Rattus norvegicus: one gene and its partners. The protein of the gene in region 3 interacts with the protein of the main gene of each other region in a biochemical or structural test. Links are inferred from orthologs where the notes say so. Each region holds a gene or a part of one and is shown on either strand. Other genes may lie near its edges.

What was found.
Region 1: the proteins of Sumo1 (region 3) and Pias3 form a complex in vitro, tested with the Homo sapiens proteins (2 studies listed by BioGRID and IntAct, with this or other methods). The link is inferred for Rattus norvegicus from reciprocal best matches to the Homo sapiens genes SUMO1 and PIAS3.
Region 2: the proteins of Sumo1 (region 3) and Pias1 form a complex in vitro, tested with the Homo sapiens proteins (6 studies listed by BioGRID and IntAct, with this or other methods). The link is inferred for Rattus norvegicus from reciprocal best matches to the Homo sapiens genes SUMO1 and PIAS1.

Annotation. Positions count from the first base shown.
Region 1 is NC_086020.1:186,927,932-186,930,914, reverse strand, and holds the end of Pias3 (E3 SUMO-protein ligase PIAS3), read right to left. Parts: intron 2,980-2,983; coding exon 2,811-2,979; intron 2,658-2,810; coding exon 2,524-2,657; intron 2,363-2,523; coding exon 2,325-2,362; intron 1,850-2,324; coding exon 1,583-1,849; 3' UTR 623-1,582; downstream 1-622. Other genes in the region: Nudt17 (nucleoside diphosphate-linked moiety X motif 17), read left to right, coding at 109-268. UniProt on the Homo sapiens protein: Functions as an E3-type small ubiquitin-like modifier (SUMO) ligase, stabilizing the interaction between UBE2I and the substrate, and as a SUMO-tethering factor.
Region 2 is NC_086026.1:72,306,690-72,310,339, reverse strand, and holds part of Pias1 (E3 SUMO-protein ligase PIAS1), read left to right. Parts: intron 1-702; exon of another isoform or gene 703-1,936; intron 1,937-3,356; coding exon 3,357-3,650. UniProt on the Homo sapiens protein: Functions as an E3-type small ubiquitin-like modifier (SUMO) ligase, stabilizing the interaction between UBE2I and the substrate, and as a SUMO-tethering factor. Catalyzes sumoylation of various proteins, such as CEBPB, MRE11, MTA1, PTK2 and PML.
Region 3 is NC_086027.1:68,599,982-68,604,110, forward strand, and holds the start of Sumo1 (small ubiquitin-related modifier 1), read right to left. Parts: upstream 2,823-4,129; 5' UTR 2,782-2,822; coding exon 2,770-2,781; intron 1-2,769. UniProt on the Homo sapiens protein: Ubiquitin-like protein that can be covalently attached to proteins as a monomer or a lysine-linked polymer.

The sequences.
Region 1 (2,983 bases), on a different chromosome or scaffold from region 3:
GATTAACACTCACTTGGCCTTCTGCAATAGTTGGGAGGATTAAATGTCTCAATGTACTAAAGTTCATTGTAAGCTACAAGGCACAACCTAGGCACTGTCATAATCCAGCACAACTGAACTGAAGGACGATGGAGGAACCCAGCCTCTGGTCCTGCCCGTGTCCACGCTCATGCGAGTAACCCCAGCCACAGCAGAAGAGGACAAAGAAAGGGTCAGCACTGGAACCAAGTTTGCCCTCAAGCTCTGGCTGCAACATCTGGGCAGATGAAGGTAAGGAACAACTTGTGGGTAGCACAGCCTCGGTGCGGGATGGCCTGGTGTTCTTAGGGACGTCAAAGAGACAAAGGGAGAGCAACTGCTCTTGGCTATGCTTGTGTAAATGCCTCCACTCCCTCCCAGGTAAAAATGAAGCTCACATGGACCCCAGACCAGCAAATGAAGGCAGGCAGCCGGTGAGGTGGTCTGGCAACCTGAGACCTGAGTCCAGTAGCTGGGATCGATCTCTTTCAAGATGGAAGGAAAGGTCCTACTCCATAAAGTTGTCCTCTGACTTTCACATGCACCCATGGCGCGCATGCCCGCATGCACAGTAATAAACATTTTAAGTGTTCTTTTTTTTTTTTAAGTGAAAGGATAGAACATGGACCCTCTGCCCCACAAACCATGGGTCTGGAAAACAAGGTACAACATCTCTCCCCTCCATGACGCTCACAGAACATTCACAACCTTTATTGTAGGCGAGAACTCTGCTACAGCTCTGGGGATAAAAAGTGAAATCACATCACAGGGCTTTGGCCCTGAAGGGGCCTGAGTATTGGGAAGGAGAACAGAGCCCCCATGTCCCATAAAAGGTGCAAGAACAATCTAGGCCTGAGCACAGGTCACTAGAAGCTTAGGCCCTTGACTGTTTAGCATAAAAACATTGTGAACTTAAATATATAAATAGAGAGACCCAGGCAGTAGGCAGGCCACGCCCTGTTCCCGAGCCCCTGGGGATCACAACTAAGGCCTTGTTTCCTCCTCGAGTCACACTGGGAAGTAAAAGGCAAGGGAAGTCATCTTTGGATAATTTGGAGTTTTCTTATTTATGTACAAAAAAGAAATCTGCAACCCAAAATAGAGTTGTCTGTCCATCTCTGACCTGCCACCTGACAGTATGGCCAAAGAGAAGGGAATGGACGAAAAAGAACAGATGTTTGGGTTTGGGTACGGAAAGGAGTCCTGGGGGAGGGGGCAGGAAACTGCCCTTTCCCCAAGAGGCTGAAGATCTGGTGAAGGGTGAGGAACCCCTACCCTTCCATCTGCCTCCCACTGCCTAGGTTACCCTACCCAAAGGAATGTGCTACATCAAAGAACACTTCCAAAAACAGACCCCAATGTCCTTTTTCAAAAGGTTAAATGTTAACCCTTTGAGTACTGGCCTTGTTAGGCAGTGATAAGGCCAAAAGCAGGTGTCCATGAAGATCTGGCCTGGCCTTTGACCAATGACCCCTGAGGGATCAGAGCAGCCAGGGGTTGGGAACCCACAATGTATCTGCTCAGTGCTAGGGCCAGTAGAAATTGATTTTGCAATCCAAATAACTCAGTCCAAGGAAATGACGTCTGACCGACAGCCAGTCAAAGAGGGACCGGAAGGCAGGGGTCCTCCATGCCCTTCCCTCAAGGAACTCCCAGGAGCCACAATGCTGCTGACACGGCCAGGAGCGGGTGCTGGAGTGGCGCTGCGGTGAGAGCTCCCCAATGTGGGGGCCAGTGGGCCCAGGAAGTGGGGAGGGGTTCCCCGGAATTGGAAGAAGTGGCCAAGGGTGTCCTGCTCATCTAGTGAAGTGATAACTGAAGGGCTGTAGTGCTGGAGGGACAAAGGAGACAGCTTGACGTGTCATCTTGACTCAGCACCTCACCCACCTCAAAACCACTTCACGGGGTTCCAACCCTCACGGATCTCATGACCATGATGTTCTTGAGAAGAGAAGCTGAGGACCTGACTCTTCCTTACTCCCCCAAGACCCTTCTCCTGTGCCTTGCCTTGGGACAGCCCCTTTGACATCCAGGGCCTTGTGGGTGTCTGAAATGTGTGGAACATCCACTGGGGAAGGTTCTAGTGCATGCGGGGGTGAGTGAGCAGGAAGAGAGGTGCTAGGAAGGCACAGGTGTGAATATGAAGTGATGGGGGCGAGGGGTAAGGAAGACAGGTGCCATGTTCTCCCCTCGCAGAAAGACACTGTGAAATCCCTAAGGAAACCGGGCAGGGGAAGAACATATCATCAGTGTCTACAAAAAGGACTCTCCTGAGATCTTGCATCTTCCTAGACATGACCACTTACCTGACTCTCAGTCTGAAGGAAAGAAAATAAATCTAAACCTGGTAGGAAAAGAAAAATCAAAATCAACCCCCTTCTGACTCCTTCACCACAAGAAAAAAAAAAAAAAAATTCCCCCTGTCCCTAGGGCTCTGCAAAGAAACAGGTCTGGACAGGGTACGAGGGCAGGACCCTCCCCTCCACCTTAGGGTCAGCGTTCTACCTTGGATGTCAGCCCCCAGCGGGAAGGCAGGTGGGTACTCATGTAGTGGGAGACTAGACAGGAAATCACTGCCCAGTGTACCCATTGCAGGGCTCCGCAGCACCGAAGACGGCTGGTGACCAGAGGTCAGGGCTCTGTAGTGGGGAGAAAGAGCTGGAGAAACCAGCCAAACACGGCTGCCCAAGGTCCCATCGTCCCTGCCCTTCCCCATCCCATAGCTTGCCCGGTGGCCAAAAGGCAGTTCTGACATCTGCCCCCTCCGATACAGAAGCAGCCTTTTCTCATACCCTTTGCTTCCAGGAAGGGCTGGAATGGCAGCCGAGGTAACAGGGCAGTGCTTCTTGGTGGGGGGCAGATCTTCCTCATCTGATGAGCTTTCGATTGTCAAGTCAATGACTTCAACCCTCTTCTTATTCTCTGACTGATTTCCCTCCTGGACTGGGCTATACTGGAGACCTAT
Region 2 (3,650 bases), on a different chromosome or scaffold from region 3:
CATCCAAGGATCTCATCAGTAGAATGCTGGAATCCGCTAGGAGGTGATGATTTCTAAAAGCCATTTGTGGTTAATGTTATCCTTAGTTGTATTTATTTTGCAGTAGTTTTAACAAATGAAGAGTTTTAAGGACATTGCAGATTAAAATATATCTCATTTCAACATCTCAGAAATATTTACATGATTTGTTTTCCTGTGTGTTGTCAAGACTTCTGCATCGTGAATTAATTCTCTGCAGCCTTTCATTTGAGTGATGCCTCAGATGGCTGGCTAGACCTTTTCTGACCCCTTCTTCAGTTCTTTGAAATACTGAGCTTATTACTGTCTCCTAAGAGTGTGCAAAAGCTGTTCCAGTAATAGCAAGAAACACCACCTCTCCTTTCACTGTGTAAGGTTATCAGGTGCAATTAATGGTAAATTGAGCCCACATAGCCATAACTTTTCTTTTTTTAAGTTCAAATGGTGAAGCTTGAAATGGAAATTGAAGTAAACTTGGTTCAATTTTTTAATTGATTCCCACCCCCAATTTAAAGGCATGTGGTTTGTTCCCCCTCCATATATTTTTACTATGATAGTAAGTCCTCTTCATTTTAAAGATCCAAACTAGGAGCCTTAACTTGATAGCTGCTGTCTTTTGAGTGCATATTTGTCAGTTACTGCTTTAATGGTTGCTATTGTTTGCTTTGCCTTTTTTGAGACAGACAGGTTTATGTTGTCATTTAACTTTTTCTTTGCTCCTTCAAGCAAGAGATTTTACTTTATGTAAATTGTGAGTGACAATACATAGAAATACAATAATACGTCTGTGCTACACTCATACTCACATTAAGGACAAAAGTTACCATCTTTGAAATTTGTGGTAATTATTGAATTGTTTTTGTTTGTGGCTTAGAGAATGGAAGTGAATTAAAAGGGAAGTTATTACTCTTTAAAATTTCATGTTGTTCTCTCCTCCCTACCCGTTTTATAACAAAAACATTTGCCTATGTGATGACCACTAGCTCTTGTTAATTGACAGAATCCAAAATCACCTGGGAATGGGCCTCTAGACATGCCTGTGGGGAGTATCTTGATTTTGTTAATCAATGTGGGACGACCTGCCCACTGTGGGCAATACCATTCCCTGGCTGTTAATAGTAACTGTGAGTTCTGGGATTTATAAATGGAGAAAAAGGGTTGAATAGCATGAATGCATTCCTTGCTCTGTTTTCAGTTTTGAATGAGATGTGGTCAGCTGCTTTAAGCTCCTCTCTATGTTACTTCCCCACCATAATGAATTTTACCCTTGAATTTTGAGCCAATACAGTCCCCTTCCCCTTATGTTCCACTATGCCTGGAAGTTCTTTTTTTCTAGTTATTTTATACTTTTCCTGGATGTTTTAGTGAGTAGGGAGAAGATGCCATTGTTGTCCTATTTACAGACTTTGTTAATATCCAAAAAGAAAACAGCTATATCAAACTAGCTTCAAACTTAGATCCTCCTGTCTCAGCCTCCCAATTGCTGCTGTTTCAGTTGCTGGCCATTATGCTCAGCAATTTGTTCCCAAACTCTGGGTTACATCTCTGTATACCTCTGCAGAGTGCAAGAATTTGGACATTGATTTGAATGATTTACCACAGCACATGCCACCTCCATTCCTTCTGCCTGCTTTTCTTGTTCATTCCTTCACTGTCCAAATAGTTAATAACAAACGGTACTAGATACAGAAGATAAAATGGTCATAGACTGTCCTAGTTCTAGAACAGTCATCAGCCCTAGTTCTAGAATAGTCATCAGCCCTGGAGACCCTCTGTCCAGGCAAGGAGTCGCCATATGGATAGAAATGACAGTGCAGCAGGATAATTGTGGAGATAAATACCCAAGAAATGGCTAGAAGAGATAGACAGTAAAACAGTTCCACTCGGCTAGGACAGGCTGGTGAAGCTGGTCCTGAAGGTGGGAACAGTGGAAGGACTTTATCTTTGACTGATCATCTATATTGCACTAGAGAACGTCATTCATTGCTCACTTTTGGGGGCTATTCTGCTACCTTAGTGCAGTGGTTCTCAATCTGTGGGTTGTGACCCTTTTGGGAGGGAAGGTGGAGTCAAAGGAATCTTGAAATGAATCTTGCATAAGGGTTACTTAAGACCATTGGAAAATACAAGATATTTACATTACAGTTCATAACATTAGCAAAAGTATAGTTATGAAGTAGCAATGAAAGTGATTTTATGGTGGGGAAGGCTCACTACAACATGAGGAGCTCTGTTAAAGGGTCACAACTAGTGAGAACCATTGGTCTAATGTGTTGGCCAAGAAAGAGGGTATTGGGGCTGGGGATTTAGCTCAGTGGTTAGAGCGCTTACCTAGGAAGCGCAAGGCCCTGGGTTCGGTCCCCAGCTCCGAAAAAAAGAACCAAAAAAAAAAAAAAAAAAAAGAAAAGAAAGAGGGTATTTATAATGAGCGGTACAGGAAGGTAGGGAGGCAACACAGCCACTGTGTATGCTGGTGTTTGATATGGGGCCAGAGAATCCAACAGTTAAGGAATAGAGGATTTAATGAATATAAGCTTGCAGGTGTGTGTCTTTCCTGGCATTTCCTGTCAGAGACAGGGCTTCCATAAGTAGCAGTGTGGTCTTTGGTTCCCCTTTCTGTTGCTTTAAATGGCGAGATTGTGATCAGATCTCCATGTTCTTAGAAGGTGGGGGGAAGTAGCGAACAGTGATAAGTAAATTGAGACCACAGATTAATGAAGGTAAGAAGATTTCTGTTGTGTGGCTTCACTTAGTATGGTTGTACAGATGGAATTCCTGATGGCTTAAATGAGAAGTGCAAGCTTTAGCATCTGATGAGACTGCCAGCTAGCTGTATAGAAGCAAAGACTAAGAGGTAAGCAAGCACAGGAAGATAGCGACTGTTCCTTGAATTCTAGAGTTAGTATAGAGCAGTATTGATAATGTGAATACCTAGTTTTGAAGTGGAGATCTGGCTTTAATATACTTAACAGGTTTTTCCCCAAGAAAGTGGGAAGACTCCTGAGGGCACGTTACTACTTATTGCAGTCCGCAGTCTGTGCTTCTGGAGAATTATGAAGTGCTTGTTGATACTGCTAAACAGTAGGATAAAGCGCGATGTGGTCCTGCATAGTATAAACTGGATCCTGGCTCTCATAATCAATCTCACATGGAAATCCCTAAACTTATATCTAGTACTTTTAAAGTTTCTTTGCTATTAATTAGTTAAACTTTGTTTAAATAGAATGGTAAAATGGATGGCATTTAAGCAAACCATATGAAGAGGCTAAATACAAACTTTAAAATTGTAAATTATGGTTTCAGATACTAATATTTTACATTTTACTTTTTTCCCTAAGCAAATGGTTATGAGCCTTAGAGTTTCTGAACTCCAAGTACTGTTGGGCTACGCTGGGAGAAACAAGCACGGACGCAAACACGAACTTCTTACAAAAGCCCTGCATTTGTTAAAGGCTGGCTGTAGTCCTGCTGTACAAATGAAAATTAAAGAACTCTACAGGCGGCGGTTCCCTCAGAAAATTATGACACCTGCGGACTTGTCTATCCCCAACGTACATTCAAGTCCTATGCCAGCGACTCTTTCTCCATCCACCATTCCACAGCTCACTTACGATGGTCACCCTGCATCGTCC
Region 3 (4,129 bases):
TAAACAAATTTCTATTAATGGTTATAGAATGATCCTCATTCTTTGGGAAATCATGTACCAATGATGGGACCTATAGTACCTTCTTTTTAAAAAAACTGCATAATTCAGTGAATTCTCAAGGTTTAGGCATTAGATTGTGATCTATTTTAGATATAAAGATCCACTCATTTTAAACTGAAATTATGGCAAGACACAGTGGCATACACATACACCTGTAATCCCAGGACTCAGGAAAGTAAAAACAGAAGGATCACTGCCAGCCTAGATACACAGTGAGAGCATCTCAAAACAAAGAGAAAAGCTGAAACTATTACTCAATGTGACTATTTTAAGCACAAGATACAAGCTTCTAAGAGTTGCCTCAGAAAATAAAATGTGCATGGGTACTGGAGGGCATCTTGTATTCAAGTCAAGCACATTATCGAACCCCCCAACTTGAAAAAGTACCCTCTAAGGCCACCTTCTGAAGACAGCTCAGTCTCAGGCTGTTGCTATTACACACAGTACTTGGGGATTCCTACTCTCACTTATAAACCTCTTACAGGCAAGGATTCACTTAACCGTTTTCTCCAAATCTTTAACACTCAATACTGAACTTGTTCTGGGAACTAAGATTAATGTTATCCATCAGCCTAAAGCAACAGCTCCCAAATCCATTATCACACTCTCAATGATTTAAAAACCTATCAACCCAGCTGTCGTGGTGGTATACACTCTGGGAGGCAGAGGCAAGGCAAGGAAAATCTGAGGCCAATCTGATCTACATAGCAAGTTCCAGGACAACTAAGGCTACACAGAGAAACCCTTGACTTGAACTAAATAAACCCCTAAAATGTTAGATACATTTTTATTACTTTTTTTAAAGACAAAAATTTTAAGAGTAGCAGCACTATTTCCTATGCAAATTGCTTTAATGTGTAGCTCAATTTAAAAAAAAAGACTTGTTTTGCCAACTGTGGTGGTAGACATCTTTAATCCCAGCACTCAGGAAACAGACACAGGAGAAACTGAGTTCCAGGCCAGGAAAAGCTACATAGTTAAGACCCTGCCTCAAAAAAAAAGATTTGTTCTACTTTTTTGTCATGTTTCTAAAATTTTCATTGAACATCCATGATAGAATGAGAAACACACACACACACACACACACACACACACACACCAAGTGTGGCAGCATAACTCTGTAATCCCAGCTACTCTGCAAGGCTGAGGGAGTCCAAGTTCAAAGACAAGTGTGTTACAGTCCAACCTAGACAACTTAATGAAATGAAGTAAAAGGAGAAATGAGGGTTTAGTGCCTGCCTGGCAAGCACATGTGGGAGGCCCTAGGTCCAGCACCCAAAGACCCCAAGTGAGGTGAGAGAGTCCTAAGCAAGCATAGAGTGACTTTGCAGACTCCCTGAAACCTTGTGTCCTAGGGTCCTCTTTTCTTTCTTCATATCCTCACATAATGTAAGTTCAAACTAGAGCAAAACTAATCCTAAAACTTAAAACTCTTTCTGTATGTTGCCCTCTCATCTGGCTAACATGCTTTAAAAATAGAAGTCTGATGAAGCATAAGCGTTTACACAGCTGATCTCTCCTCTCTGGTAACTAAGTAAACAACTGTCATAAACAAATTATGGGCTTCATAAAGTCATTTCTAGCCCAAAAGATTAATAATCCAGATTATTAATAAGTAAATCCATCCCACAACTAATTTACAGTGTAGATAGGCTATAAAAATAGAACCACTATGGCCAGTCTGGGGTGGTTGCAAGCCTTTCATCCTCAGGAAACAGACAGGCGGATCTCTATAAACTGGAGGCCAGCCTCGTCTACAGAGGGAGTTCCAGGACAACCAGGCTACACAGAAAACCAACGTCTCAAAAAAAAAAAAAAAAAAAAAACCAACAAAAAAAATTTTAAAAAAGCTCAACTACAATGTAAAGTAGAATGAAAAAAGTTTGCTGAATTGTAACTAAAGAAGTAAAAATTAAAAAAAAAAAAAATACTCTGAAAATTAAGTCATCTGACCAAACAAAAGGAAAGCCAGACAAAAACCGTATGGATGGCATGTTGGTGGTGGCACTCTACGCAGTTTGTTGTTTCTCGGTTATTCTGAGCGCTCCTACAACTGGAGAGTTGATGGACCAATCCCGAGTAAGAAATGGAAAGTACAGAGAAAGAGTCGACCGCTCCGCACCCCCGGATGGAAAAATGACTCTGAAGTGGGCAAAGACGGACTGACCCTCCAGGCAAACACAACTGAAAAGCAGCGTCTCCTGGGTTCCCAGTCACCCCAAACAAGGATCCCTGCCCGCCCCCCACTCTCCGGGACCAAGAACCCAAAGTAGAATCGAGCTGCTTTTCAGGGCCACCTAGCCTCCCAGGCAGGGATTCTCTCCCGTTACATAACTGGGCCTAGGGCCTTGTTTCTGCCATCGGTCCTCTGAAAGGGAAACGGTCGTTTTCCCCCAGGTTGCTCTCACGGACAAGGGAGCGGGCCTGGGCCCCCAGCGAGCCCGAGAGAAACCTGGGAGCAGTCGAAAGAGACCCGGCGCTGGATGGCGTGGGGGTAGAGGCCTCCGAAAGGGCCGCGGAGGGTGCGTAAAACCCGGAGACCCTCGATCCCAGGCGGCTCGGCCCGACTCTGCCAGGCGCTCGGCGTCCCTCGCGGCCCCCTCCCCACCGGCAGCCCCCTCCCCCAACATCACCCCCTCCCCCCGCGCCCCATTCCAGGGGCTCAGCCAGCAGCCGACGGCCCTGAGCCCCAAGGCCGTGGCCCGGTACCTGGTCAGACATGGTGTCGGTGGATTCACCCGGGGGTCTCCGCACCACAGCGGCCTCCGGCAGGCAGAACCGCACTCTGAGGTTTACAAATCCGTCTCTTCTCCACAGCACAACACCGCGGCTGCAGGGACTTCCGCTACGTCTTGCGTCACTTCCGCAGCGCGCAGAGGAGAGTTTGGGAAGACGGGAAAGGGAAGCGGGAAAACGCCTTAGGGAATGCGGGAGATGAAATCGTCAAGGTTAAGCTACTTTCCTGGAGCAAGAGAACCGCTAGGTCTTCAGCGGGGCCGGGAAAACCGGCCCGCTGCCTCAGGCCTTAGGGAGACCAGCGCTTTGCCTGCAGGCTGTGTGTGTTTGGGGTCAAACTGACCGCTTAGGCTCCTCCCTGTTGGACATCTTGTACGCTTCTGAGGCCGGAACCAACTCTTCCTGAATATAGTGAATTCCCTGTATAATATCTTTATGGCCCCCTCTTGCTTGCTGCTGCCACATTCATGACTTTGATTACTAGAAATACAATAGTAACAAGTTTTCATTTTCTACAAGAGAGAAAGTGAAAGCGATTTGGAAGCCACTAGCATGTCAGAGTGAATGAAGTTAACCACAACGAGCTGAGTTATGGTGGCGTACTCCGAGTGATAGAGGCAAGCAGATCTCTGTGAGTTTGAGGCCATCTTGGTCTACAAAGTGAGTTCCGGGACAGCCAAGGCTACATGGAAGAACCCTGTGGGAGTCTAGGGGTGGGGCATGAAGAAACAACCCTTCCGGTCACATCTTTGGTTTTGTTTTGTGTTTTGAGGCAGGGTCTCACTAAGTAGCTCTGGCTATTATAGAACATTGCTAAGTCAACCAGACTGGCCTCCTCTTGCCTCTGCCTCCCCAGTGCTGAGATTAAAGACCTGGGCCACCACATCTCCAGCTCTAGAACAAAGTCTTGGTGGCTATAGATGACCAAAATGCTATTGAAAGTTGAAGTTGCAAGAGCTCCCTCCAGCTCATAAACTAGTTGCCTTACATCATAGACCTAAACATCTTCCTTTGAATACAGTGACCCTCTTGCACAAACATTCAGGGAAGATTAAGGTTATACTAAGTAAAGGGGGGAAAAATGAAAACTAAAGTAAGTCAAAAACCTTCACAGTACAAGACATTAATAAAATAATCTTTTCTGTAATTAGTAATGAGCCGATTATAAGTGGCCCAGCAATCAAAGAGCATTGGCTACTCTTCCAGAGGACTCAGGTTTGATTCCCAGCACCCGTATATGCATTCAAAAATGCCTATAACTCTAGTCCCAGAGAATCTGATATGTTTTTCAGCACTGCACCAGGCCTAAATGTGGTTCATAGACACACATTCG